Linked DNA regions of Lepisosteus oculatus. The protein of the gene in region 3 interacts with the protein of the main gene of each other region in a pairwise test. Links are inferred from orthologs where the notes say so. Each region holds a gene or a part of one and is shown on either strand. Other genes may lie near its edges.

Region 1 (7,946 bases), on a different chromosome or scaffold from region 3:
ATTAAGCATAGCACATAATATTCAATAATAAATCACAAGCAATAATATTATAAGGATACAATTACCATCAAGTGTGTTCCAGTTCTACTACTATATACACTACTATTTAATCCCAGGCAGTCAGTGCCAGATCTCTGTAGGCACAGTGCCTAGGGCCTACAGAATTTTTAGGGCCTACGTAGGAGGGAAACACTAGTGACTAATGAAAAATGTGCTGAAACAACAAGCTTGTGATCGACTCTAGGTGCTCCAAATAATGATCATACGCTATCTAGCGGCTGTTCTAGAAACTAGAAGTATCGAAGTGATGATCACTCGGCTCACTCCATCAATCACGTGGTTGAGCATTAGAATAGTTGAAAGTGCGTTGTGTCAATAGACATAATTCAAGTGGCATTAGTCACGTTTTTGCACACTTCGGAGAGAAAGTGCCTAGGGCCTACGAACACCAAAATCCGTCCCTGCAGTCAGTGGGGCAAAAAAGGGTGGCGCAACATTGCTTCTAGGTGCTATCTGCATATAATTTGTATCTACTCAATGTGCTCTGTTTTCCTCCCACAGTCCAAAGACAAGATGGTAGATTAAATGACTTCTTGTAAATTTGGCCCTTTTATGAGCGTGTGCATGTGTATGTAGTGTAAAAAGCTCTGCAGCCCTGGAATGGATAAGCGGAATAGAAAATGGATCAATGGATAAACAAACTGTGGTAAGATGGCGGGAGCAGTTTGGGAATTGAGGCAGGAAACGCTATTGCCTGCAAGCTGGTAAATGAAGTAGGGGAAGGCATTTCTTGTAGCCGATGTGAAAGTTCAACTCTCGTCAGACCATCAGAATGAACTCAATACAGAACCTCTCTGCAGACCCGGGGAGTCAGCATTCTAAAATGAAGGTCCATGTGAAACTGGCTTTGTCTGTGTTAAATTAGGAGCACATCCTCTGGGCTTTGGCACCAGTTTGCAGGGATGCTCTTCTCACAGGTCAGATAGAAGAGTAGTACTGCAGCAGGCAGCTCGCCCAGCCCAAAGCTTGATTTGGGAATACAAGTACCTCCTTTTAGTTATTGAAATCTGTGATCAGGTGCGCTCTTTTTGAATTTTTTGTGATTAAGCATTTGTCCTCTGCAATAAGTATTTTAAAACAGTTAGTTTTAAAATGTAAGTATAATAATAAACTTTAGTTTATATAGCACCTTTAGAAGTATCTTCTCTAGACGAGTTAAGGGAAAAGCAAATAAATAAACAGTTTCAACAAATGAATAGTAACTAAGTTAGAAGTTACAATTAGCACAAAGAAACACAAGGGATTAGAAATGTAATAGAAGATGCAAGGAATGACATCCTTTTACGTAAAAGCCTAATTATGCAAAGGTGGTATAGATTTGTCGGAGTTTGGGTCTAACATAAATTAATTTGCACATCAGGCAGAGGGACAAGCAATTCATACAATACGTGGAAAGGACTGACGGCAACATAAACACCACTGCTTTATGATGTTTCAGCGTTTATTGGATAAATACTGATGGCATTTAAATAAAGGTATCCGTTAAAAACGGAAACCTGAAGCTCTGCAAATAATACAGCATCTACCTGCATCTGTTCACAAATCAGAATTCTGCAATTCAAAACCAGTTCCAGAGATACTAATATTTTATTTACACAAATAGTCTTTACAGCTATTAAATAATTCTCTATTTCTCATTATATATTTTGAAAAATATTAACTTTGGTGGTTTTTGATCTCGGAGTCTGAGCGCAGTTGCATCAACCCACAGCCACGTAAGTAACAGCTAATAATAATATAAAAATTGCTTACACTTATATAGCGCTTTTCTGGACACTCCACTCAAAGCGCTTTACAGGTAATGGGGACTCCCCTCCACCACCACCAATGTGCAGCATTCGCCTGTTAAGTATTTCAACCACTCCGATCATTTTAATAGTTCCTGTCCTGGCCGAAAAGACCGATGCGGGATACTCAACTGTGAGATTGCGGAGGGGTGGCTCTGTGGCTAAGGATCTGCTCCTTTGGCTGGAAAATTGCCAGTTCGCATTCTGTGGCCGGCAGAGGAATCCTACCCTGTTGGGCCCCTGAGCAAGGCCCTTAACCCCAACTGCTCCAGGGGTGCTGTACAATGGCTGACCCTGCCCTGCACTCTGACCCCAAGGTTCTCTCCCTGTCTGTGTCTCATGGAGAGCAAGCTGGGGTATGCGAAAAGACGAATTCCTAATGCCAGGAATTGTACTGGGCTAATAAAGCAACATTATTATTATTATTATTAATTTTAACATAAAACTGAGGAACATTATCCCCGGCTAAAGGAATGGCATTATTCTAAACTAGAAGACAGCGGCCACCTTACCCTCCTAGGGACTTTCTGATCCAAAAATATCCCTCGTGTAATTTCTTTTTTCAACAGGCTTCGCATTTTCAAGGCAAGCAACATAAAATGAGTGTAGTAGAAAATATTACGTCACTTTCTTCTCCAGTAGCCGTTACGGTATTATCAAGCGCATTGCTACGTTACAACACCTGCAGTCTCAATTTCAAAACCCACTTTATCACGAAAACTGTATTTCCTTTACACCAAGATCTTTATTCATAATTGACCTTGCATTTCTACACCGCATGTTCATTTTTCCCATTTCTATTAAATACATAAAAAGCTTTATTTTACTGTAAGTTATATGTATCACTACTCTGTAATTTATTTTAGTTTATGGATGTCCATATGCATATTAAATAATATGCACTACTGTATATGTACTTTTAATATTTGTATTTTTTAGCACGTACATCACGTTTCAAGATACATTGTGTAACAGGATGGGAAAAAAATCTCATCCGCCTGAAAATACATAAAGTTTGACTAGCCTCACAAATCGTAAACTAATTGTTTTAAAAATGTTTTAAAAGCCGGCAGAGCTTTAAGAAACGATGATTATATGAAACACAACAAACGTCTCTCTCAACACAAACTCACTCACACTCACCTTCTCCGCTCTCCAGTCCTGACACTTTATTATTGAGCAGTTCCTGATTTGCCTGTTTAATTTGAACTTTTTTATCAAACTAAAACAATGGAATTAAATATTAGATTAATATTATAACATAAATATTACACTAATTAAATATGTATTATTACATAAAGCAATTTGTGGGAAATCAGTCCACAATTATTAAGATTTCTATCGAGGCTCCTCGATAGTAAACTATCCTACGGGCCTTGCAGGAGTAGGTCGCAGTTTTTTTCCCAAGATGGCAGCCTCCAGCAGAAGTCAGGTGCTTTCTCTGTACAGGCTGTTGATGAAGGAGAGCAGTAAATTTCCTTCATACAACTACAGGTATTTGATCACTGCTTATTGCTAATTACTCGTGATCGCATGAATCACATAGCGGGCACTTCATTTAACGCTGTGCCATGTTATACAAGTGTTGTCATTGCAGTGTAACAGAGCTTTCAGGTTATAGATAGGATCTGAAAGTACGGTTGCATTTTTATAGCACATAGAAGTAATGATATTATTTAGCAGCAACATCTGTGTCCTCTTCTGGTCCCAGCGGAGAATAACCCGCACTTGTACCTTACTTGCGATGTTGATATGAAAACCTGCTTTATTAACTATGACCTTTTGGTTATGTGTTTTAGTTTTCGAAAACAATAACCCGATCCACAATTAGAGGGATAAATGTATCTTTTCTTTCCTGCAGTGATCTGATTTATAAAGTATTTATTCCTATAGAATTACGGAGCACAATGTGATCATTTGTATTTTCTTAATTACAATATTATCCCGAAATACTTGAATCGAAAAAAGTTAATTCCTTGTCCATTGTTGTGCACCTGTGATAGCATAAAGTAAAACCTATTACACTATTATAATTACAAAACCTATTTTAATTAATTGCAGTCTGTTGTCGCATTAAATGTTATCCAAAACTACACACAAAATGATCTGTTTTCAGCATTTGATAGTTTTTTGCTTAAGCCAAAGCCCTCTCTTCTCTGAGTTGTTACACAAGCTGTGAGATAAAGGTAAAAGGTTTTGATACATTGGCATAACAGTTTATATTAATAACACATAATTCGACACCTTTAATTATCTATGTAACGATTTTTTACTATGACAGGCCTTGGAGAGCGCAGGTATACAGTATAAAGTATAAAGGATTTTAAAGTACATGAAGAGTAAAAAAGTTTTTCTCCAGCTTCTCCAACCGCTAGATAGAAACCCTGTGACACGAACAGCACAGCGCAGTATATCGCGTCAGTACACACAATACAATGCGAAGACAAATTTCACTTGGCTCTACAGAAACTGCTATTACTAGTACTAAATTTCAGTAGTATATCTTACAGCACCGAACACTTAATTTATAACAAGTCTTACACAAACCCTGAACGTGATGTACAATCATGTTTTGCACAACCATAAATTATGTAGCAGAAATCATACGCTTTAAAGATCCTGCTGTTAAAAAGCCTTTGAAACACAATAATGGTGGTTCTTGGCTTAGACAGTAATTTTGTCTAAATTGCAAACATGTAGATTTTCCCTGTTCGTTTTCTTACTTGAATTCCATGGGCAATTGATCATTTACAGACTGTTGAAACTATAGTAATGAAATTAAACTTGCAGCCTATTTTTGTGTAAAAATGTTACTGGATTGAATGGACTAAAAAACAAAGATTAATAACAGCTAGCTCCCCATCCATGGTGTTGAGGTTAACAAGAAAGGGCTGGATGAGATACTTGGATCAATTAACTAACAGTTAACTTCCACAAAATGGCTGGGTACCTTGTTGCATAGTCCCACATCCCCACGTGTCTCATGCTCACAATTTTAAATGGGCTTCTACATAATTTCCATTTGTATCCTCTGGTTTTTATCTTGCTTTTCATTCTGAAGCAATCCGCTGGATTGATGCTGTGTCACTGCGTTTTAGGACTGTGAATACTGTATATCAGATCTCCTTGTAGGATTCTCTGTTCAAGACTAAAGGGCTTGAGTTCCTTCAGCCTGTCAGTATAGGACATGTACCCAATTTACTCATTGTGCTTTCCAGATTGAATTTTGGTAGTTTAATGTTATTGAAACAAAAGTAAAAGTACTGGAGATAGATGTAGTCAGCTACACAATTTATAATTTACAGTATCTTGTTTTGAAAAACACCATAATAATCCCAACATTAATAATGTATTTTGCGGACTGGACGGACATGGACCTATTAAGAAAAATTGAAAACCTCCCCGACTCTCTTTCTACTTGTTTTTATCCGAAAAATTTTAACTCCCTTCTCACTTTTTCTAACTCATAACTTAATCACATCAATTTATCACTTTTTGCATCCATTTATATATATATTTTTAGAAAGACTAGGAAATATTGTTTCACAATTATCACATAAGTTAATTTTTAATATCCTATCTGCGTTAGTTTTGTACAGCATTATTAATATACAGTAGGAATGCATATAATGCTTAATATGCAGTATATATAACATTCTGACATTTCTGTTAACTTTCAAAACGTATTCTTTATGCGATTGTTGTTGTAATTTGTAAAGTAGTTCATGTTCCTGTGGATAAGAAATAGATTTTTTTGTATCTGGGGATTACCAGTTCAGGTCCTGACTGCCCTTTTAGTAAAATCAGGTCCTGATTTTTTTAGGCCCTCTAAGTTTTGTTTATATTCAATGCATCTGCTGAATGTTGTTATTATAATGTAAAAACAAAGTTTTGTAAAGTATGTGTGGTAAAAACACAATCCTTTACTGGGAACACTAGGCTCACAGTCTAGTTCCTCTGCTTGGCATTTCCTGATAGTTAAGATATTGAATGTGCAGTAAGGCATCCTTGGACTGTATCCCAGGGGTAGGAATTGTCCTGAGGTGGAAGCTCGGAGCTTGATGTATGGCACAACTGTGAAAAGCAGCATGGCTCCATTTTTGCCCGATCCTATTAGCACAGTTTTGCAAGTGAACAGATCCTAATTAAAAGTGCTCACCATCTGCCAGAGCCCAGCACCGAGGTGGCCCACAGCATTTACCTTCCCTCATTGATTACAATGTATTATTTATCACGTTTTTTGCTGTTTCATAAGATGCAGGATAGCAAATGCCACTAGCAAAACGGGAGGTCTTTACTCCTCACCACCTACAGCTAGTGTGATGTGCCCCCTTCCCACGAGATGTGTGTGCATTAGGAACTCTCTGCTCCACAGTTGTATAATCAGTATTATACCTTCTGCTTAAAATAGAAGCTGTAGTTCTGCTCTCATTTGTACCTTACTCACATTGAAGAACACTTTGCTTTTGACAGCCAGTGCTATATATATCTATCCTTTTGTTTGAAAAATTTTGAGAATTATTTCTTATGTGAATGAATTCTAATTGAATTGCCTTATTTTGATGATTATGGACCTTTTAGTTGGAAGTTCTGCGCCAAGGTACATTGGGTGGCTATTGCATTGAAACACTGTGAATTGGAGGGCTGCAATATCTGGTGTGGTCAGTACCTGGATGGGAGACCTCCTGGGAAAAACTAAGGTTGCTGCTGGAAGAGGTGTTAGTGGTGCCGGCAGGGGGCGCTCACTCTGCGGTCTGTCTGGGTCCTAATGCCCCAGTATAGTGACAGGGACACTATACTGTAAGAAGGTGCCGTCCTTCGGGTGAGATGTAAAACTGAGGTTCTGCAGTCAGCTTCTAATACTTCATACTGTTAATAATCCCCATCTATGAACTGGCTTCCTCACTCTGTTCACTCTGTTCTCCTCCCCACTGATAGCTAACGTTTAGTGAGCGTACTGTGCACACTATGGCTGCCGTCGCATCATCCAGGTTGGGGGTAGTTCTATAAAACAGCTTACATAGCCTTCATATGTAGTATTTGTATGTTGTATTCTGTAGCCCATACAACTATTATTATTTCATTATTATTACATTATACTGTAAATATGATCAATTCCAGGTCTAACATTGTTGGATCTTGGTGGACAATGTGTTTACAATAGTTCAGTAGTCATATGAAGTAATCAGTGATTCATCACGATCATAGTAAAATAACTATTGCTGTTGTTCTTTTGCACAATAACTGTCTTAATCAGGGAAACAAAATGCAGTAGAGCACATTGCACTAAATGAAATAAAACTGAAATAAGCGAAAACAGTTGAAAAATGGTTTTTCACATGCAAAATCGTATAACTGAAGTAATTTTCATTTTTCACCATTTAATGTCAAAATATTTGTCACCTGTCACAACTGAGAACCCCTTTAGTGTTTCATAAAATTAAATAAAATCCTTTGATCTACACAGAAATAAATATAAAACAGTCCAGCTGCATGAGCAGCATGTTCATTCTAGAAAATGAAGCAGCTCTAGTAAGCCAGCATAATAACATGTAATGAGAGAACTTAATGTTTTTTTTAACATTAATCCTGACTAATAATATTTGGTGCAAATATGTGTGCATTCCCCAGTTCCAGATGCATATTTTCCCTAAATGCAAACCCTAAAAGTTAGTATTTTTCTCATTTGGCTTGGTCTGTCTTGTTTTACCCCTATGAAAGAGAAAGAGATCATTCGGCCAGGTTTGCTTGTGTGATTGCCGCAAGCTGACTTAAATACCTTAAATACCCCAGGATACCTTGTTTTCGGAGAGTCACACTCACTAGTTTGCTGGGTGCTTCATCCTAGACATCCTAGACAATTCTTTATGAAACAAGGGGAGGCTTTTCAGTTCATCTTGTTTGTAAAGGCGTACTACTTGTTTTCAGTACTAAAAGCACCTGTAATCAATATGCACATGCATCTTCATTCAAATATTCATTCAACGTCTCTGTGTTAGATATTCATTGAATTATTTTGCTTCTCAGCAGTGGAGTAATGGTTAAGGTTCTGGATTTGTAAATGGAACGTTGTTACTTCAAATACCAGCTAGACCAGCT
Region 2 (7,167 bases), on a different chromosome or scaffold from region 3:
TCGGGGGAGCTAATTAATTAGTTCTCTGTATACAAATGAATAGTTGTCTTGAACAAACAGGTGAAAAACAAATAATTTCTCACTGTGTTTACACATGGGAGTTGGAAAACCACATACAACAATCCTTCACATTTGTTGTTAGAGTAAGATTACATTACTGGAGAACTGGGTGTTTAGACAGATAATTTTGTAAACTAGCTGTAAACAAGAAAATAGATTCTCTGTTCTGTGCAGTCTGTGTACCAGAGAAGTTAATGTACCTCTGTGATCTTTCTACATAGTCAGCATCTACAGCTCCCTGTTATATACACAGCAGTCCCAGCTAATTAATTTCTGTCACCACTGCAAGACCTTCAGTTACCTAGCAGTTTACTATCTGGAAAGAAGTAATCTCTTCAGGTTCAGATTATCCCATGTTTTTCCCTTTTACAAATATTTTCATTTTTTTGCCTTTTTCTGATCATGAAACCATAAAAACACCAGGCAAAATTAGTTTTAAATACATTTCCTTGGAATTTCTAATATCTTTATGGTCACTGCACACAATGAAAGATAAATGCACTGATTTTCTGTACTATGCCAACGAAATACTTCTGATTCCACAACAGTTAGTTATCTTAGCTTTGAATAATACCAGAGCATAACAATTTAGACTTTCTTGTATTTAAATAATCAAAAATAGATGTTTCTTTTGCAGCTTCAATAATGGCCTGATATAAATCCTCTCCATCTCTCATCAAGAATGTTTATTTTGCTATGTCCAGTTTTTGCCACAACTTTGACATCATCTGTATTTTTTACTATGTTTTTTTAATATTGTAATATAAACTATTGATATAGTAGCCAAAGGCACTCTAATCCTGTGTTTCACCTGATACATTTGTCCTTTAGGACCAAAACCCAGAGCCTTGAGAAAAAAAAGGGCCTTTTGCGTATGGAACTAGGTAGGTTTCTGTATCTTTTTTTCAAGGGGGTCAGATATAGCTTAGGGGCATTTGAATTTAATTTCTAACACATAGGGATTTAACAGGGCTGGGAAGACTTTGCTTGATTTAAAGCACAGCATATTCAGAATGAAAACTGCTCTCAGCTAAAAATGTACCACTCATTTAAATGAAGAAATAATGTTTATGTAATTATTCTGTTTAACGTCCAGGTGTTTTTTATTATTATTTTTTCTAATTTCCTTAGAAGGTCTTTTGTACTCCTTAGATCATCATTGTAGTTGACTTCCTAAAATTTCCCCACACCTACATTTTATAAATAACTCTTATGAATTAATCTGAGTTACACACCAAAGAAAAAATCATTATTGCTTTCACAGTGCCAAAAGACTGACAAAGTCTCCAGCTTGCATTGGTCAAACGTGACATAAATCTTGCTGCTTTGTAACTTTTTTCATAATGCTTTTTTATAATGCTTTGTAACTAAAAGGTTCCTCTAAAAAACATCTACAGTATATAAGCATATAGATGAAACGAAATATTAAAAACTGGATAGGAGAGTGGAAATGTTTCAAGAAATGTAAGTAACAAAAGTAAGTGGGAAAAATCTTAAAGGTTCTTCATACATCAGAAAGATAGTTTCTTTCCATTATCTTTCAATCTTGGGGAACAATAAATTGAGATACTTATGATAGTTTTTAGACCACATTTGTTTCACAAGGAACCCAGATTATACATAGTGGCTTCCCATATATTGTATAATCACCGTTGCTATTAAATTTACATGATTAACTCTTAGAGGTTTATTGGAATGGGGTATTACTGGTTTAATAATATAAACTTACTCCTCAGATCTCTCTAGAGTAATCAAGAAACTCTCCCCACCATGTCCTGGACCAGTTTTAGGGGTTTTGAGTAACTGGGGACTTGGAGATGTACAGTCCCTGTGACAACCATTATTAACCTGTGTCAAGTCTGGAGTGGGATCCTATACATCTCAAGATAAATCTTTCCTATCATGAGGTGATAAAAATGAGTTTCTTGAGAAGTGCTCATAAATAAAAATGAAAAACACATTTACTTGATCTGTTATTAGTGTTTATGAAGTTTTGCTGTACTGTTCTGGTTTGGTAAAGCATTAAGCACTGTGATATTTCTAATTAAACATTATTTTTGGTAAAGACTGAGCAGAAATGTATAATTGAAAAAAGAATACTGTGATATTTGCAAAGTTTCTGGCTGGAAAATTTAAGATGTTTTCTGCTGGATTATTTACTATCTACTCACACGCTATGCAGCATTATAAATGAAGTCATCAAAATATGATCATGTTGTTCTTCACATGATGTTCAAGGCTTTTTCCCTTAATTAAAAGAGCCATAAACATCCACCCATTCATTTACAAAATAGTAGTTACAGTCAGCCATATTGGCTAAAATATATTTGCAGGAGTAACAACTGAATTTGAAAAAATAAGACAATTGGAAAAGATCACTCACTCAAACTCACTCATTCCAGCAGTCATCATATGATATAGTTTGTAAAAGCTAAAATATTAATGTTTATATTACTATAAATAAATGTAAGATAATTACATCAATTAGAACAAGAAATTCAAACAGTTGCTATTTACTGATTTTAACACAATTGAGATTCTATGTCTTTAGTTACAGGCATTTTACTCACACATAGGTCGTGTTCTGTGGAATGTCAGTAGGCATCTGTAGAACTTTGATTCCCACACATGAGAAAGATCTGGTTGTCCCATTGCTTGCACAGACGTGGCATTCAATGCATTGCATTCCTATCAAAAGAAAGTAAACCCACAACAGGATCATTCTGTCTCCGTCCACAGAAATCTGGTCTCTTTGTGTTTTTGTGTATAAAGCGGTGATGTGTGGATCGTCTTTTTTTCAGCTGACAAGCATTAACACTACTTTGATATTGCAGTTATATATCATTAGATTCCAGAATTTTGCAGATTGGTTTTGCTCTTCTAGATCTTCATCTAATGGTACCGAAAAAGACAACAACACATTGTTCAAGTGAATAAATAGATCCTGAGCACGCAGCCAGCTTTGTTATATAGCAAGCCCATCAGAGACCTTGGGAGAAAGGACTCTGATAAGGAGCAAGTGCCTTTCTTGCTTTTCTCCTCTCTTCCTCATTCTGAATTCATCACTAAATGGTGGAGATAGATTACCTCCTCAAAAACCAGAGGAATTCCAAAAATGATAAGACACTAATTTCTGACTTCATGTTACCTATAAATGTTTGGCAACACACTCTGTGTATCTGATCTGTTCCATCTCTGATTATAGTTCATTAAAATATAAAAGAACACAGTGTTATAACCAGGCTCATACTTCTTTCACTTTAAAGTCCATTTTGCTGTCTAGTTTTGTCTGTGATTACAAAACGTTTTTTGGCATATGCAAATATTTGTCAATTTTTGGCTTTCACTTAGTTCTTTAATAAGGAGCAGTGCATGTTAAGAGCAAAATGAACTTTGTTCAGCACACACTATTCTTATTATGAAACTCACAGACAAAAATAAATGGGAAACCTCATTGCAAGACAGTCAATGAACTTACAGCTGTCTGAACAAGTCTTAAGACAAATATTTTATTAAAACCTGACAATAAAATATAAAATTGTATTTTATATTGTATTTTTCACATAAAGTTCTCAGGTTTGATCTCATGGTGTAACAGATTTTTTTAAAACAAATGTTCATAACAATCTAAATAAACAGATACAACCTAATGAATCACTTAGATATGGAAGTTCTTAACTGAAATTTGGGAGGGATAACAAAGATAAGTAAATCTCATTACATAATCACTATCATTACTGAAATTAGCTCTATACAGTATATATTGAACAAACATTTCCTTTGCATTAGTCTCAAGCATCCCTCCTCCACCTCCTCTCTACCCTCTCCTTGGTTTACCCCTCTCCGAATGGGGTTCAAACACCCTCATTCTATGGCCAGGAGGCTGCCCATAACCAAGTGGGATAAACAAAACCTGTCTTACCAGGCATTCCAAAAATTCACAAAGCATTCAATTTTTGGATGTTGTTATTTTTCTAGCTGGTATCTTGGCTCAACTGATTAATTAGTTTCCCCTGATATGTTCCAGTTAACTAATTATACTGTAGATCATTCTTTAGTTATTGGCTTTGCTATAGTCAGGTACTTCTGGCTCATTATAATAGTAAGTGGGCAGCTGCTTTATAAGGGTGAAGCCTAGGGTCACCTGGGAACGTTACCAGATTAAAAGAAAACAGAAAATAATCAGGTTGAGGGCTCAGAAGAGTTTAATTCTAAATCCAAAAATAGATCAGGCAGGAAGATCTTTATAATTGTTGAAGCATTTGTAAAAACTTGTTATAGAAATTCAGGTCTATAACAAGTGTGGTCAATTACGTATTGGTATTAATGACTTGGGTCATTTAATGAGGCTCTATACTTTTTACTATGGGGGATGAAAACTGAATTTCAAACAAGAATTCAACGATGAAGACCAATGAGCTTTCAAAACAACTTGGAGATATTTTGAAGTTACAGCAAAACAGAGAAGGGTATAAATTGCCCCTTGAGTATGGTGAAGTTAATTAAGAAGTGGGTGTACCTAGGCACTGCCTCCAAACTGAGCAGCCAGGCATGGGGAAACCAGTTACAGATGCCAATATGAATCCAGTGGTGACTATGAATAAGTATAGAGTTCAAAACCTGAGGTGTGAGATGTCTGCTTTCCAGCGGGGCAATATCCCAAATCTTTCTTAGTGTAGATTAAGGAGAAAGTGAATATCAGGGTGGCTCAAGGTCCTAGTTTGAAGATTTATTGCAAGACTTGAAAACTGATTAGCCACTTGGCATAGCTTTAGTACGTTTTCAAAGAGGAATGGCAGAAATTTGTATTATCTCACTGTGTAAAGTTGGTAGATGTATCGAAAAAGACTCCTAGCTGTAATTGGTGCCAAATGTGCTTCCAGCAGGTGTTGACTCACCTGGGTGAATACTTTGCAATGAATGTCTTAGTTTTTTTTTACAGATTTTGTGGTCATTTAACTTTTTACACCCTTAAAAGTTCTGAGAATGCATAGAAGTTACCTTAATCGTAAAAGTAATTAAGGATTACAGTGGTGGAGTGTTAGCATTGCTGCCTTGCAACACTGGGATTAATTCTAGACCCAGGGTGCTATCTGTGTGGATTTTGTATGTTCTCCCTGTGTTTCACATGGGTTTCACAGTCCAGCAACATACTGTACTGGTAGGTTAATTGGTTTCTGGGGGAACAGTCCCTAGGCATACTGTAAGTGTGCATGCTTATTTGCCCCGTGATGGTTTCCTGGCCAGGTTTATGCTGCCTTGTGCTTGTTGCTTGCTGGAATAGGCACTGGTTCCCCTGTGACCCTGAGCAGAAGAAGCGGTTAGAAAATGGATGGATGGGACATCATTGGGAGATGGGTAAATAGTTTTGCAAATAGTCCACTGGAGCTTGCTCGTAAAGAAAGACATAATCGGCTTTAAAAAGATTTCTAAATATTCCCCCAGCTTTAAATACATTTTTACCTGTCAAAGTCTTACTCTTGAAAACTAAATTAGTTCTAATAATGACACTTTTTTCCTCATTTTCAATCCACATGTTGGTTCAAGGCACCGGCATGAGAAAAGAATTTCTGACAAGCTGTATTATGTACTTAGCACAACAGAGACGATTGTTTACTTCCACTAACTTCTCTCATTAGAGCATAGATGGTACTACTATACTACTGAATCTTTAAGGCACATTGACTATTTAATTTGAAAGTGTATATGTGGCTGAAGCACACCAGGACTGGAGAATCTTGACTTATACCTGTTAGCCTGTTAATATTTTGTATAAGATGACAGAAGAGGGGAGCACACAGATGCAGTGGCTTGGTTAAGACAGTCTCATGAATCTAAAACTCCTTCCCACGTCATCTTCGTCACCCCCTAGGGTGTTTTATAAATATAGGGTGCCATTTGCACCATGTTCAGTTCCAGTATTATAACTGTTATCGTACATCTTGTCACTGCTGTTCCTGTTCTTCATTCTTTCTAAGTGAGAGATTTTGTTCCTTTTCAGTGTGCAACTTTAAATTAGTGCTCCAGGCACCTGTTAAAGGCTATTTTCTTCACTAAACTTCTTAGGATCCAAGCCAAATCACTAGCTTCATTAAAGTGGTGTCAGAAAAGATAGGATAAGATGTTGCAGTGAGCAGATGGATTGCAGTCTAAACCTCAAACAGAAAGAGAAGTTTTCTCATACAGAAAAAAAAAAACTTTAGAGGTAGAAAAAAATACCTCATCACAGAAAGAAAGAAGCCTTAGCCCACTTGCCTGTGAGTAGCCAGTGATTCTGAGATTTTTACTTTGAGGCCCTTTACTTCAATTACTTGCAGTTTGATTACCGAAACTGCCCTCTGAAATCTGGATTACACTCCCAAGTTATTATGGCAGCCATGGCTTCTTTGACACGTTGTGACACAATGGAGACTCGCTGTCTTTATCTGAGCCAAAACTCTGCTGGTCAGTGCTGGAGGGCCTCAGGGGAGAAGGAATATGGCTCAAGCCTCTTTCTCCTGCCAGCCGCATGGGAATGCAACGCTGGGATCATTGTCTATTTAATGAGCAGGAATATAAACTGCACATGTGGATGTCCCAGTGTTCGAGCCAGAACCTTGCCTATGGAAATCGGGCTAAGGCACACTCTCTCCCTCCCTGTCTCTCTGAAGAGAAGAATGGATTTTCTCTTGCATCCGAGCTATTAGACTCTTTTGAAATAGAAATATTATTTTCAGAGTGACCTGTCGCCAGTTGTCTATCTCCCCTAAGAGATATTGATTAAAATTGGTGAAAATATAATATATTATATTTACCCCCACGGCATATGCTCAGCTAGTGGGGTGGTTTTTGTTAATTTTTTGGATCTGTGGTTCTGTTCCTGCCAAATCTAGATTGTGCCATTTAATTATAGACAACATCCAACTATCATAAAATCCACCGACCTTCTGCCACTGGAATCCAAAAGGCTGGATTACACTAAGGCTCATGTCACTTCATGGCTATATTTGCCTGAGCATTCCTGGATGAGATCTGAGCAGCATTATTATGTGTAGATAGCTGTCACTCAAATTCTAATGGAAGCTTTGACCAGTCCTCATGCTGTGCCCAACAATTGACTGTATTGTC
Region 3 (7,531 bases):
CGGTTATGACTACCGTGATAATCTGTGTACTGTAATAGAAAATAGAGCATCCCCAGTGACCCCAAAGTTCAATCATGAACCAAGAGTTACAGTATTTTAACTGAGGCCCACAAAAGTAAATAAATAACACCTTAACCTGTTGTGGTATATTTAAGGCTTTATGGGCAGCTGAAGGAGACGACTAAAAATTAAACACAGATTCCAGGCTAGATATTCTCTGTGGCATGCTAAAATATCGTTGAATTTGGAAATGACCTTGAAGTTGTGCTTGTACAGTATTTTGCAGCAAAACGTAATTATTCACACACAACGCCTGACATTGAAAAGGATAAGTGAAGGCCTGTGTCAAGAAAAAAGCAGAAGCTTCACAACTATTCAGAGAAACACAAAAATAAACTAGAATTCCTGAACATCTTCCAAGTGTTCCACTGAATCAATATTATTAATATACAGTATGTATATAGCAGAGAGGCAAAAGGCAACACAAGGAAAGGGGTTATGTTATCCGAGTGTGAATTCAGATGAAAATCACGGTAAAATTCTTAAATCTTCGTCTCATCTCTTTCGTGAGCTCGTCGTAGCTGCTTCTGAAACCCGCGTGTAGAGATTTTGCGCAGCTGCGGCTGCGTCACGTCACGCAGCGCGTGGCCGTGGACTTGTACAGACGGAACTGTGCGGAATCTGTCCTACAAGAGCGTGACGTCACTTTCAAAAACTGTCACCCTGACACCTTGATATGGTCAGACAATAAACTCTCTTAATTCTGCCTTTTCGTGTTAAATACTAAAATAGTGCGGTACTGAACTCACTGAAGCAGAATAAAAAAAAATCAAACAGCGTTACAAAATTAAAATGAAAAAGCAAGCTAATTGGTTATTTCGAATACTCCGTTTTATTAGATAATGCTCTATATTTTTTAAAAAGTTTAAACTTTAAGGATTACACTTTCACTTAAGATCCTTTTTTCCCTAAAGACACTTCAATGTTGGGTTTTTTTTTCAGGGATTTTCATTGTCCCTGGCCTATAAAACAGCATACAACAGGTTGGACTGGATCTGTCAGTACACAGTAACCTGCTATACAACTCTATAGCTGTATACAATGTTACAGTACAAATGTTTACAATAGCTTTCAATGGTTTTTTACAGGACATTTAATTTTTTTCTATGACCTTTTCAGGCCTGCAAACAGAACCAGCAATATTCCAGCTTGCCAGAGCACTCATGAAACCAGCAGAGGGGAAAAGCGATAGCTCATGATTCATGCCATGCAAGCAAATAAGACTGGCACTGTAGAGCAGTTTGGCTCGTCCTCAGTTTTACAGACTCCTGCAGAAACTGTAACGAAACACCTGCCTCAGAGTTTGGCTTATATAAGAGACTGCAGGTTATGAAATTCCGTATGGGTTTAACTGCTGTGAAATGGTAGTTCGTGGAACAAGAAGAAAGATATCTTGCTTAGGAAAAGGAACATACAGTATACTTCAGTAAATTTGTGGTGTTCCGTGAGCTGCTTTGAGGCTCCAGTTTTGATTGTGACAAAGGCCACACTCTTCCTCAGGGACAGGTGAATAATATCCAGTCAGCTTCAACCAACCACTAGTAACAGCTAGATGGGAAATAAAGTACAGCCATTTCTTAAGAGTAAGACTGCTGCTTCATGCTCATCTCCTGTATTAGACTGAATGTGGCGAATTCACACAGAGCTTTAAAACCGTCATAACAATATTATTTAAGGTGTGGCAGTTGAGGAAGAACCTTTGGTTGCAAACCTAATACACTCAAGCCAACCAAGTCTGTACTTAACTGTATAAAATGCATGATCAATAACTGCTTTCATATTATATTTGCTGTTTTAAAAGAAAAAAGGGTGGTTGTAGAGCTCTGGCAGTATAAACAGCCGGGGATATAGGTCTCTCAAGAGGACTAAGGTTCAAAGAATGATTTAATCGAGGAGGCTATATCGCTTCCTGTCATTCAAAGTCGCACGGTTTTCCAAATGAAGTCGCTTCAGTTCTTGACACGTTGCTGTGGCACGATAGTTGGGGGGTAAATCTGTGATTTAAAGCTCCGGTTTGTGAAGAACACGCCCCACAAATACCAGCCACCGGAGTGGAACGAAAATAACGCTTCAGGAAACGAACACGATACAATTGTCTTTCACTGTCACCAGTTTTTTTTTTAAAGAAAGATAACATAATATTTTCAACGTCACATCATAACTTGGAAACAACTTATCCCCATGACATCTGGCATTCTGCTAGAATACTACCTCAATAGGCTGATTTAAAAAAAAATCCTGTCAGTTAACACGTATTATTCTGGATTGTTGCATTTCTGTTCTGTCAGGGAATCTTGAAATAAGGATGGATGACTCACTCAATGACTCAATGAAGCTTTTTCGTCCCTTCGTGTTTATGCACATACTTTTAAATCACAAACCATTACCTTTTAATGGCTAATCAAACGTTATCTAGTAAGAGAAAGAACACAGTCGAGAAATGACGCTTTTCACTCTTCATAAAAAAAGTGATTTAGTAGGGTAAACGAGCCAAGAGAATAATTTGCGATCACATTCTTGTCATTAGCAGTAAACGGCGCTGCAAGAGACCATTTCTGAAAATCCGAATTTTAATACGTATTTATACAAAGAGGCAGCTGTGTCAAACGTACACATACTGTATACATGCGCATATAAACACAAATAGCTAGCGTGCTATTATTGTATTATTTCTACAGTATATAAAAATGCGGTGCTAATCTCAATTATGGTGCTTGTCAAACTCTAGTTTGACTGTACTGGAAAAGCAATTTTGTAGTAACAGCTGTAGCAAGCCAAGATTCTTAATATATGTGATCAGATTTTTTCAGATATTGGAAGGTAAAACTGTATTTTGCAATCTTTTACCGTACTAACAGTCTTTCTTTGTATACATATAAAATAACTTGAATTCCCATTACCTGCGGACTATCTTCCAATGTCTCCTCTATCGGTAGTTTATCAATCCCAGGCATATTTCTAATTTATATTAAACTGAATGCAAAAAACGAAAAAAAAGTGACAATAAACAATCACTCCCACAGAATACCAGAGACCAACAATATCCACAACACCCAACCCAGCTTTCTCCCGAAGCGGAAATTCCGCCTTCGTTTTTTTCTGATTGGGGAACATACTCTCCCGGAGATTTATATCATTTCCTTGTTCAGTTTCACTTTACGTCACAGTGTAATGACAGTGGACAGTGGTGGCGAAATTGAAGCCATTTTGGCTCTAAGAAATAGTTAGTATACCTTTCTATACGTTTTATATGGAGCCAAGATGGCGATCACCTACGTTCAGTGACTTCACTATTCCCGATTTAGCGCTTTACCTCAATGATTTTGCCTCCGTGGAAGTAAAAAGGAAAACGACGATAATTGTATTGACCGCATACACCTAATGAGACTTGCAACTGTCCACTGTGAATAACACGCCAATAACGAGAAATGATCCATCCTTTTCACGGGGGCTGTTGTACAGCAAAAAAGGCTCAAAGGAAGCTTAATGATAATATAAGCAATCTAAATAATCCACCAACACAGATAGTCTTTATTACCATTCCTTTCAGGCATTGAAATTCTCAGTGCCCACTGTATAAAATTCAGTGTTCAGTCACTATCAGTCTGGAAATACTATCACACAAGATATAAAATCACCCAATTATTATCATCTTGGCATGGTGTAAAAAGTCAAGAAGACTCAGGATTTATGTATTTTATTTCTGAAAGGCATTAGCTAAAATACAGGGAATACAGAGTAAAGTAATAGGTATTAGAGTAACAGTGCATCTGAGATGGTTCTCAGATCTTGGTCTGTGCTGCAGAACAGCTGAAGTATTTCCATTGCCTTTAGCACAATATGAAACTGGTAGATTGTGAAAATCTTTAGACCCGTCAGAAATCTTAAAGTAAAATCTGGCTAAACAGTGTCTGCATTGAAGAACATGATCTTTTAAATTTAAAGAGTGCACTCTACCTGAGATTGTGTTAGTAGATACATGCCCTGATGTTTTAACAAAAATGTAAGATCATCGACAGAAGGTTCTACTACTGTATTCAGACTTGATACTAGTCACCTGATTGTAGTGGAGTGTGACTCTACTTTCCAGTGTTTTTCAAATTGAACACCATCATTCATGAGTCTTATTCTCTACAAATACACCAAGCCGTATCAACTGCCAGACTCTTAATAGTTTTCCTTAACCAATATTTTGTTACCCATGTTAATTTTAAAAAAGAACACAGCGATGCAATAAATGTGTGAATTTGATATAACCTCCTATATATAATTATGCAGCTCATTTAGTACATAAGCATACCATGAAGCCAACATGGGGAAACAAAATAAGAAACAAAAAGAAACGACAATAATAGAGGCATAAAGAATAACGCTTACAAGGTATCTGATTACAAAAGAGTTCTGCTCCTTTCAACCAGACTTTCCCCTTGGGCAAGAATGTTTCCAAGCTTTTCCAACCACCAGATATTCGAGAAATGCGATACGCTGACTTGCAGGCTAAAGGCGGGGCAAGATCCCCTTTTCAAACTGTGTCTAGCGAAATGATGACATTTGCCAGCACAAATCTAGTTTCTTTGGGCTGATGTGATGTGACCGTGCCTAAGGGGAATCAGTCATATGTCATTATTCCACCCTCCTGTGCCCCTTGCTCTGAAATGATGACCCCCTTCCATTTCTCCGGGAAGCTCATCGTGTGGCTTGGGGTGACCGTCCCTCAGGAGGCCTGGCGCAGGACAGCAACGGGAATCCGCTGCTCCCTGGACTGAGGAGAACCGAGGCCCGGAGGTGCGTGTGGTCGCTGGGGTGTCACCGCGAGCCCAGGAGGGTGCCCTGGCCGTAGAGGTCGTACTCTCGGTAGAGGACGTAGTCCTTGAGGCGGCTGGGCAGGGGCAGGAAGCTCATGAAGACGGGAGCTCGGAGCCGCAGGCGACCCAGGCATTGGCGGATCTGCAGGCGGCACAGGTGCTTCAGGCAGCGGGGGTTTTCTGTGGGCGGCGGGACCCTCGTCAGAGCCACTCCCTCCTCCGTGGTCAGCAAGAACCCCCCCCATCCGCACACTCGTAGTAGAGCCTCACTCCCTTGCGTCACGAAGCCAAGCAAACAAAAGCAGGCAGCAGACCTGGTGTGTGACTCTGGCTCCGACTAGATTACCTGACAAGATGGATCTGTGATTTCCCATGACAGCTGGACAGTAGAATATGCCTTCTGGGATTGGTTCCTAGAATATTCCTATACCATGTGTGCTCAGTTACAGGGGTTAAATTAATTTTCTCTTTGTCTTGACATTTATGGTGACTCAGGAGGAAGGCCCTCAAGAATCACTGAATTCAGAGCATGGTTTTTCGCAGTACTCTCCAGACCATTTGTCGAAATAAACTGATTTAGATGTCAAACAATGGGTCGAATTTCAAAATACCGCATCATTCATCTTGAATGGCGAAGCTTCTATATGCTTTGGTGTATTAACTGACAACTTGCTCCTTTTAGTAAGCTACACAGCCCTTTCTATATTAGAGAAGTGTGGCCAGTGAATTTTGAGCACTTTTCAACACAGAAGACCGAAATCGGAAAAATCCTGCTTCGTTATGACAACAAAATTCGACGTCCGCATTTAGAGGCTGGAGATAACAAAATCTATCGTATTTATTAGCAAAAACAAAAACAATACAAGCAGCAACCCATCCCATCCCTAAGTCACTAGAAGATACATTCCAGTGTTACCTTATATGTTTTTCCTCACAGGAGGAAAATACAGTCAGAGTGAAATATTTGGTTCATTATATCTGTAGCATTGGTGCATGATTGCTCATGTCTGGTACATTCTGCGGTCAAATCATATCTGCACTTTGTACACTACTGAGTGGACGTTCTGAGTAATCTGTAGGTTTTGGGTACTTACTGGTGGAGGATACCCATCTCATCTAGTAGAAGTGTTTCACCTACAAGGTCATAATACCTCAAGAGCTTGACATCTAAATTGGTCTGAAAGGGAGAGCAGTGCTGATTAGTGCATTATTAACAACCTGTACCTTTCAGCTTGCTGCTAAGCATAAGAGCACACTTAACAGCCATACGCTAGAACAGTCACATGCAAGACTTCCAGGCCTCTCACTTACCTTGAATCTGACATATCTCTTGCCACTGTTTCTGTTCCATGAGAGCAGATTTAAGCTTGGAACAAAATTTCACATGATCAACATAATCTAGCATGATCCTCACCACTTGTCCAGAGATATACCTCAGCCAGTACACTGTGATCACCTCACAGAACTGCAGGAGAGAGAGAGAGAGAGAGAGAGAGAGAGAGAGAGAGAGAGAGAGAACAGCCAGAGAGCCTTGTAGTGTTCATCTATCAGATCTCATGCCTCATGTGCCAAAAACAAAGGGTAAGGGATCATGGATTCATTCTGATTATCAAGTCTAAAGCTTGAAGAAAGCTTCAACACAAAGGTTTCCATACAGCAAGCTGTGCCAACAATTTTTTATCCCTCTACTCTCTATCATCATTTGAGTATTCATCTCCACATTCTGTCTCTGAATTCCAAGCCAGGTTAAATGTATGTTTTGCACATGTATGGCTGCACATGTGTGTGAATTTGACTGTGTAAATGAGACTGTGGTTTTTTGCTGTGTAGGCTGAAGACGCAAGCTCAATCAGGATGTAAATCTTCAGATGAGAGACGTACAATTCTATAAATGTTCATCAGTTCTTAATGATATTCAGCCATTAAGTTCCCCTGTAAAGTGATATAATAGGATATTTAACTCACATTATTGTTATGAATTGTTATAAATCCCTCCCCATACTGACCATCACACCTCAGTCTGAGTACGGAAGATGCTTAATCAAGCGATACATGTTTTTAGACACTCACATAGGTAACGAATAAGAAAATTACTCATCACAAGAATAGTGAGAACAGGTTACAACTAATAAAATAAGAACTCAAAAGTAGATCTCAAGAAGTTTTACCTCATGTCATTATCTGACCGTGATCAAGGGTAGGGTGGAATAAGTCTATCGATGGCCTTTTTAAAATGTACTCATATCTAAACCCACATCTGGATTTGCTAATGTTTAAGATGCAGAAAACAAGCCAAAAAAGGCAATGTTCGTTATAAGCCTACTTTAAACATTATATTCTCTTTGCAGGAAATGGCCTTAAAAATTAACAGAAGTTAGAAGAAATCAATTTAAAACATCTCAAAGACAGGAGAAAACTTAAAGAACAGTCAAATACAAAGTAAAACATCCTTTTTTTCTGCAATGGGATTCTGTCCATTCCATAAAATTAGATGAGAAGCATTGATTATCCACAACAGAAAATTAACACTAATAAAAATAGTTCATTTACAAATTCCTCACTGTTGCTATCCACATGAAACTGATTAGGCAAAAAAAAAACTCATTGTGATGTCATAATCCAACTGAGTGATGTCATAAAGAGATACAGGCTATAAAAACCATTAC
Region 4 (7,839 bases), on a different chromosome or scaffold from region 3:
CAGCAGCAACCTTAGTTTTTCCCAGGAGGTCTACAATACAGGTAATGACCAGGCTCACGCCTGCTGAGCTTCAGGGGACTGCCAGTTGAGAGTTGCAGGCTGATATGGCTGCTGGCCTAAGGTATAAATGCAAAGCGTTGTCTTTGGTGCAAACTCAACACCATCCCTTCGGACAAGCACGGTGGAGGCAGCATTATGTTAACACTGTATTTTCTTCACTTGAAATGAACACACACGGGTTTGGGTCTCGCTCTCTTTGGGTGCAGAGAGGAACCGTTCTGTCATTTCCCCGGTCGTGATGCAGGTCTCGGTGATCCTGAGGAACTCCAGCAGGGCGCGCTCGAAGAAGCCAAGTCTGTCGGCTCTGAATGCGATCCGACCCGGATTCAAACTGAGTTTTTAAATATCTGTTTAGGTGGCTTTTATTTTGAAAGGTGCTGACAAGCTAGAGTCGCTTAATGTAGCTAGCGTCACGCTACTTTGCGGGTCAGGTTGCGGGTGAAGGTGAACTCGCGCGCGCCGGTCTCTTTGCAGTAGCGGATGAAGTGCATCGGGAAGATTTATTTTATCCCCCGGGTGCCCACGCGTAATTTCTGCTCCGGGCAGACAAAGCTGAGTAAATTAAACCTTCTGCCTCTGACAGGCGTACGGGGCAGCCAAAGAGAAATCCTTGAAAACGGTGCTGAGGGTTTCATCTTGCGGCGGTACACAGATGTTCTGCGTGTGGCCCGTCGCCTGCAGGACAAGAGCTAAAGTTGTTTTTTTTTTTTCTAATTAACGAGAAGAGCTGATTATCAATACAGAACACTTTCGATAGGCGAGAGTTACTCTGGGCAATTTATATAAAAAAAGACTCATAACGCTATTAGGGTGACTGGACTGTTCGTTTTGCTTCTTCGTTTAGTGAGTGTAAGACAAATAATTTCGATGGGATACCCATTTTTCGAAATCTCCTGCCATGCAATGCTCCAGCAGAACTCCCTCACTAGTTTATTTCCCTATAGTAGTTACGCACTATTAAACCTTAAATTTAAGCCTATACCAGACCCTATAGCTGCAAGGTCCGCCGTAGCGCAGTGAAAACAGACGGGAAGCGCAGCTTCTCAAACTAGATTCCAAAACTATAACGCTCAGAAACAACACGATGCCCCTCCAGAAAACCACGTCCATAAACAGATGTAATTATGAGAACAGTAAATACGGGTTCCAGATTACAAAATTGCAAGTGTGTAGTCTCACTCTCTGTACTTCAACGTAAGTCTTCAGCTCAAATACAAGTGAAAGCTCCACGACAGTAATTAAAATGCATGTGTATTCACTCAGTAATTAATAAGACAAGCAATCAGATCATTCGGGCATATGCACTGATATCGGAAAAACTTAGTTACAGCCTATTACGGTAACGCTTAAAGAACTGTTCTTCGTGACGATTCCGTCCGGAATCCTCACCTTGCGTAATAAAAAGCTTAACATATATTTAAATCCGAAAGAAAATAAGACAATTATGGCATAATACCTAGCAATAAAGGTAACAGTCACACATTGTACAATTGGGATCGCCAGTTAATTCACTGTAATTTCACATACTATATACTATATACATACGACCCGATATAATAACATTAAATGTACAATTAAATTGTAGATAAATGCTAAACATGTCACGTTTTTCACATTGAAAATCTATAAAATACCATTGTACATTATTAGTAAAAACAATTCAATTGCAGAACCGGTTGTCAAACCGGTAATACCCGTTACTGTGTGTCCCTTAAAACAGCCAGAAACAATTCAGTCACGTTCCTGTTTGAATTGGAACGAGAGCAGAGTGTGAGGAAACAGATTTTATTAGATAATGTCGACGTGGAAAAGGCAGATCTAGTATATGGGTACTATTACACTGTACCATCTCGTTGTTTACATTGTTATTGTTATTGTAATTGTATTTCCTGTCTATTGTCTTGTCTGTTCTATATAAACTGCACCTGAGAGAATAATGAGAAACACTTTATACTTTTATCCCTGTGTAAGTATAATGACAAATAAAATTGAATTGAATTGAATCGAATCTAGTTTAACCTGTTATAGTTCTTTTGAACAAGCTACAACTGTATGATTACAAATAGAGCTGTAAATATATTTATATTTTCAGAAATATTTTAATAAAATTCTACATAAAATATGAATTCTTAAGTTTTAGGGAGAAGGTAAGCAAAGTAAACGATGTCTTTGGACTGGTTAATGGAAAGAGGCCAGTACAGATAAGGGGTTTCAGGAGATATTGCTACTTTAGAAGTCTTTCAGACCGAAGAAGAACAACCGGATACGCTCCCATTGTCAGTTCTACTGGGACAGGCAAAATTATTTGTGCTAAAATAGTTTAAGTTGTTAACAGAGAAAACGACGAGGGGTACATGATTCAAGTGTTCAAAATCACCAGGGGCTTTGACAAAAGCATAAGACAAAAGAAAACTAAGCTAAAGTGCCTTTAAACAAAGAAAAGAAGGCACACATTTACACAAAGGGTAGTGGGGGTCTGGAACAAGCAGCTCAGCCCTTTTGTTGAAGCCGATATATTAGCTTCTGCAAGAAACGCCTGGATGAGATCCTCGAAAAAATTAGCTACTAAACCCCTAAACGGGTTTTTATTTAGAGTTTTAACATTATTCAAAAAAAGTAATTTTCAAAACCAAATTTATGATGTGAGGATTCACTGGATGTTAATATTAACCTGCTGATTATAATCTGTGTGTTTTTTTTTTCTTTCGTTTCCGTTGAGCTCCCATCCGCTGAAGTTAGCTTGGTGAATCTGCGTGGCCACAAGGCACGTAGCAGGTCTTGAAAACAACCGTACGGGACGTTTGAAGCGTCGCCCTCCGCGTCGGGCAGCAGGTGGCGCTACTGGGCCTTCGGCGTTTCGGAGCCTGCGCAGAGAGAAGCCTCTTCGTTTCCTCGCCGGGCTTGTTGTTTTCCCAGGAAGCCGGAAGAAGCGACCTGTAGTTTGGGTCGGAATCGGCGTCCGGTCGGGTAGAATCAGGTAAGACGGGACAGGGTTTTCCGAACTCTGCTGAGAAGCGGAGGAAACCGGCGGGTTCGCCGTCCGATGTTGGTTTCAGCCCCGGGCATTCAAGCGCGCACACGTCGGTCTGTTGTTCCTGAGTTACACAAGCGGCTTTCGTGGGTTCGGGTTCAGATCTTGGCAGTTTGGAGTTGAGGTTGGCCGCCGGGGCATGTTCGGAAAGTGACGGGTTTCCAGGCACCGGGCGCGCGCTAAGCTCGGTTCCGGTGTCAGGAGGTTCCGTTCGGGTGCCGAGGCTCTCCGGCTCCCAACCGAGCTGGTCTCCCTGGATCGGTGCGGGGCAGGCGGCCGGATCTCGCCGAGCCAACACAAAAGCCACCATCCGGCCTTTCGGGTGGGAATATCCGTGGATCTGAGAAGGAAAATCGCCGTCGCATCTGCTGAGCGAAGTTGCCCTCGGAGTGTCAGGCATCTGCAGTTTGTGCAGCTGCGTGACACAAGTATAATAACATATAGTAGGCAGTCGCCGGCTTAATACTGCATTGGTGCCCTCTACAGACAGAGCGTTGTTCACTAATCCATGCCGTCGATTGAAGCATACCTATTGAGCAGTGATATGTTTTAGATGTGACTGATCCTAGCTCTGACTGTCCGGCATGTGACGAATACTGTACCCCCAGACCGAACCCAGTTATTCCCTTTGAAGTCTTTACTGGTCCTACTCGCTCAAGTCAGATTGGTCATTTATTTCTGTATTATTTAGATGATAGCTCTTAAGGTCGTGACTGTGATCGACGGTGGAAATCAGAATAAGCATTGTTATTAAAACAGAAGCCTATTTCTGTGCTGTGTGGATGTTAATTCTGTGCTGGAAATATTGTCTGGTTTCCTGATTTTTGGATCAATCTGCAAATGCTCTCCAAGATGTTTGCTTCTTTGTCTTGTTCCTGAGCTGCACAGTGGCGCAGTGGTTAGTGTTGCTGACTCAGCTCTGGGGACCTGGGTTCAATTCTGGACCAGGGGGATAATCTGTGTGTATATTCTCCCTTTGGTTGTGTGGGTTTCCTCCAGGTGCTCTGGTATCTTCTTTCAGTCCAAAGACCTACTGGTAGGGTTAATTGGCTTCAGGGGAAAGTGGCCCTGGTGTGAGTGTATGTCTGTCTGCCTGCCCTGCGATGGACTGGTGTCCTGTTCAGGGTGTATCCTGCCTTGAGCCCATTGCTTGCTGGGAGAGACTACAGCTCCACAGTGACCCTGTATTGGACAAAGCAGTTAGGAAATAGATGGATTTATTGTTATTTTTACACCATATGTACACTGTACAGTGTAATATGTAATAAACTTATAATATGACTGTACAGTAATAAGCTGAGTTTTCTTTTACTCAGTGCTGTCTGTATACACTCAGGAGGTGAGAGTAAAGATTAATTAGACACTTTAATAAAAACAAAGCGTCGACCTTAGAGGACTTCTATAGTCGCAGCACACTCTTGGGGGATTTACTGAGGTTGAATCCCCCACCCCCAAGGTGATACATTTTCCAAATCTGGCTTTGTCCCTTAAAAGCCCAATGCTGGAGTGCAGCTTCAGTCCAGACAGCGTATGCAGCCTCAGACAGGACAGTTTGGCAGTTGTGGGTGAATGTTTATGTGTTTGAAAAGAAGAATGGGAGCAAAGTACAACATGTGCAATTCCAGCATAAACAAAGCCCCCAGCTACGTCCGTGCTTCTTATTTCTGATGCGGAGACTTGCCCGTTTCAGCTGTCATCTTATCGGCCTGTACGTTGTTGGCAGCGATGACCTTGATGGTTTGTGGGTCAAAAGAAGCTTTAAGCTTTGCTTTGTAGAATGACGTTAATGTGTGACGTTTGTTCTCTGACTGCTCACTTGCCACTTTGGGACTATAAATGCATTAGATGCCCACACAGCCCCGCCACTTTAGAATGAGCGCCGTGGAATTGTCTGGTTTTCCGTGTTCAGCTCCACCAGGTACGTTGGCATGTTTGTGTCTGCTCCGTTTTGTGCTTGGTAGCTCTTTGGCAGCGTTTATTTGACAGCATCATACCTCTCTTTAAAAGAGAGTCTTAGCTACATCTGTATATAGCTCTTTGTATTCATTGTGCTCTGGGTGCAGTACATGTTTTTATCACCATTAACTGCAATTCAAAGTATTGGAGTTGTGAGTTGGGTTTTTTCACGCTCAAGGGGTTTATGTTCTGTTCTGTTAGGAGATGACCAATTACCGTTTCTTTTACAAAGTCAGTTCTTATTTTACTTTAACAGACCTTGAGGGAGTTTGGTCACCGATACAGAGCTGTATGGTTTAAGTATCTGTTTAAATATTCCTTACATATTTAATACAAAGACTAGAACCTTGAATATGTGCTGATATATAGCACAGTAAGTCAAAATAGAGAAAACGCCAATATAAAGTGTATTAACAGGGTGTTAGGCCACCATGTCCCACCAGTGCAGCTTCAGTGCCCCTTGGCATAGATTCTACAAGAGTCTGGAACTGGACTGGAGGAGTCAGACACCACTTCAGGAAACGAAACCTTTATTCGAAAAAATGCTTACTCTTGTTCTCGGCCTCCGAGATCCCAACATTCAAAGCACAGAGAAGAGAAGACACTGGTCACAAAGCCGTTTGAGACCATTCTGGGCAATTTTCTGCCCCATCACTAGTACAGTAAATGGATACTCCCAGAAACGTGGGAATAAAATACCATGTTAGCTCCGGTTGATCAATTAAGTGTGGATGTGGAAGCAGTGCATCTCATTGGCCATCTGGGGTCCCTGTTGTGGCCGACCAGGGCTGATGTGTCAGTGGCGTGGCGGCAGGGGTTGTGATCTTGCTGTGTGTCTGTGTCTGTCCGCAGCAAGAAAGGGTGCCCTGTACGTGGGGCACAGCGGTCAGGCCAGGCAAGAGGGCGATCTCCCCATGTCGGCCAGGAACGGCTCGGCAAGCGATGAAGAGTGCCGTATCACCGAGGTGTGCCGCGCCCCCGAGGATGTGGAGCTGACAGAGCTGGGCCCCCTGCTGGAGGAGTCCGGGGGGCCAGGCAAGGCACAGGGGGCCACAGCTGGGGTGAGTCCTCTGGACCTGGGGGGGGGGAGGGAGATGCAGAGGGTCTCAGACACTGGAGCTCCAGTCAGAGAAAGCTAGCGAAGCTAACTGTGTGACTGAACACAACTTCCCAGTGCGTTTTATATACAGCTCCTCAGGTCTACGGAAGCTTTTTTGCGCCACAGAGGAAAAAAAAAGTTTAACACAGTCTTGCATTTAAACTAAAAACTTTTCTGAGTTTATACAAGTAAACATTGCCTTAAAACGGGATAATTAATTTGCGAACAATATCGCCTGCTATAATGTCGCAATATATATATATACAATAGTATTGTCCCATACACACTAGCATGGACTTTAAGAACAGAAGAATATGGTGACACTCCTTTTTGCACAAAAGAATTAAGCGACAGGAGCGCGTGGAGTTCTTTTTGTATACATGAAGTAGAACTCCTTGCTAGTGAGCATTCCTGGGTTAAAAGAGTCTCGGTTTTGCCGTTTCTGTGAAAAGTAGAAATCACGTGGCTTTCCAAACATGTTATTCTACATGTAAAACTGCAGAAAAAAAGGAACTGTACATAGGTTTTTGCCTTCTCTGTAAACATTGAACGGAATACATTTATGATGACTTGACAGTAAGACGTCTACCTATTGCTGGCTTACTGTAACTGGTATTATTGTTGGTAATCATTGGTAGACCAAGCCAACGATGTACTAACAACTGTATCATGGGTTGTGTGCCGTCCTGTTTTTGTTTTGGCATTCCCCTATCATTTTTACATTCCATTTGCATTTACATTTGCCAATGGACACAGAAATACTGTTTCTTCTTCCTTTAAATGACATGTTTCCTGCATTTTGCTTTTTTATTACAAATTCAAATGGATTTGATATGAGCATAGTGTAGTCCAAAAACCTTTGAGGGCTTTATGCTTAAAGAGTCAACAATTAACCAACAATAACAGTATTGTTCACATATTAATCACATTTGAGCTGTATGTTAGCTCGTTTAAATGCAATACTGTCTCTTACAAATGCAAAAGGTTTCAAGTTTAAAAGCAGCACAATCTTATATGAACACAAAAAATATATTTTTCTCCGTGGCTCTAATAAGCTTCCATACGGGTCTGGTGTTTTGCTTGTATTTTATTTGTGTTTTTAGTATAGACTGATAAGAATCAGAGTTTTATCATAGGGGGAGGTTCAATTCTGATCTTTTTTCTGATCCACGCCTCTCTGATTGAGGGGAACGTAAAAAACACAAAAGGCCTTTAGCAAAGATGTACTCCGCCCAGAAGTAGCTGAGCAGATTCAGACCATCACTTTACCAGTGACTGGTGTTGAAAGGTCCCTGACACAACAGCTAAGCAGCACACAGCTCTCTGCTTGCATATGACATGTCTAAACAGGTTTCTCCTCCTTCAGTGCCAGATGGATAGAATTGTAATGCAAAGGGGATTGTGGGAAAACACAATACAACATAGACATGGGCATGCCTTTAGTGAGGACATCTGGCAAATAGTAATGCAACTGAAATCAGGAGCAGAAAATTGGTGAGACCACACACGACGATGCAACATGAAAGAGGAAGGGGCGTAGTCGGCATCCAGAACAGGATGAACAACAAACTGTACCCAGTATCTCCTTGATAGAAGCTTGAGGACTGTTACAGATGACAGGAGGCCAGCTAACTTTTGCTAGTTAACTAGTTAACCTGCTCTTAACTAATTAATGTGAGGATCTCATCTAGCT

The links. The genes of interacting proteins can lie anywhere in the genome.
Region 1: the proteins of appl1 (region 3) and fars2 interact in binary tests that used the Homo sapiens proteins (3 or more experiments, as listed by UniProt). The two-hybrid records come from large-scale screens. The link is inferred for Lepisosteus oculatus from reciprocal best matches to the Homo sapiens genes APPL1 and FARS2.
Region 2: the proteins of appl1 (region 3) and fshr interact in a two-hybrid assay, tested with the Homo sapiens proteins (2 studies listed by BioGRID). The link is inferred for Lepisosteus oculatus from reciprocal best matches to the Homo sapiens genes APPL1 and FSHR.
Region 4: the proteins of appl1 (region 3) and adipor1a interact in binary tests that used the Homo sapiens proteins (3 or more experiments, as listed by UniProt). The link is inferred for Lepisosteus oculatus from reciprocal best matches to the Homo sapiens genes APPL1 and ADIPOR1.

Annotation. Positions count from the first base shown.
Region 1 is NC_090701.1:18,441,051-18,448,996, forward strand, and holds the start of fars2 (phenylalanine--tRNA ligase, mitochondrial), read right to left. Parts: upstream 3,075-7,946; 5' UTR 2,991-3,074; intron 1-2,990. Other genes in the region: lyrm4 (LYR motif-containing protein 4), read left to right, coding at 3,256-3,341. UniProt on the Homo sapiens protein: Is responsible for the charging of tRNA(Phe) with phenylalanine in mitochondrial translation.
Region 2 is NC_090712.1:12,719,062-12,726,228, reverse strand, and holds the start of fshr (follicle-stimulating hormone receptor), read right to left. Parts: upstream 3,075-7,167; 5' UTR 2,783-3,074; coding exon 2,631-2,782; intron 1-2,630. UniProt on the Homo sapiens protein: G protein-coupled receptor for follitropin, the follicle-stimulating hormone. Through cAMP production activates the downstream PI3K-AKT and ERK1/ERK2 signaling pathways.
Region 3 is NC_090699.1:56,773,071-56,780,601, reverse strand, and holds the start of appl1 (DCC-interacting protein 13-alpha), read right to left. Parts: upstream 3,142-7,531; 5' UTR 3,015-3,141; coding exon 2,961-3,014; intron 1-2,960. Other genes in the region: asb14a (dynein axonemal heavy chain 12), read right to left, coding at 4,867-5,045, 6,177-6,330. UniProt on the Homo sapiens protein: Multifunctional adapter protein that binds to various membrane receptors, nuclear factors and signaling proteins to regulate many processes, such as cell proliferation, immune response, endosomal trafficking and cell metabolism.
Region 4 is NC_090700.1:30,415,380-30,423,218, reverse strand, and holds the start of adipor1a (adiponectin receptor protein 1a), read left to right. Parts: upstream 1-4,765; 5' UTR 4,766-4,936; coding exon 4,937-5,009; intron 5,010-5,899; coding exon 5,900-6,108; intron 6,109-7,839. UniProt on the Homo sapiens protein: Receptor for ADIPOQ, an essential hormone secreted by adipocytes that regulates glucose and lipid metabolism. Required for normal glucose and fat homeostasis and for maintaining a normal body weight.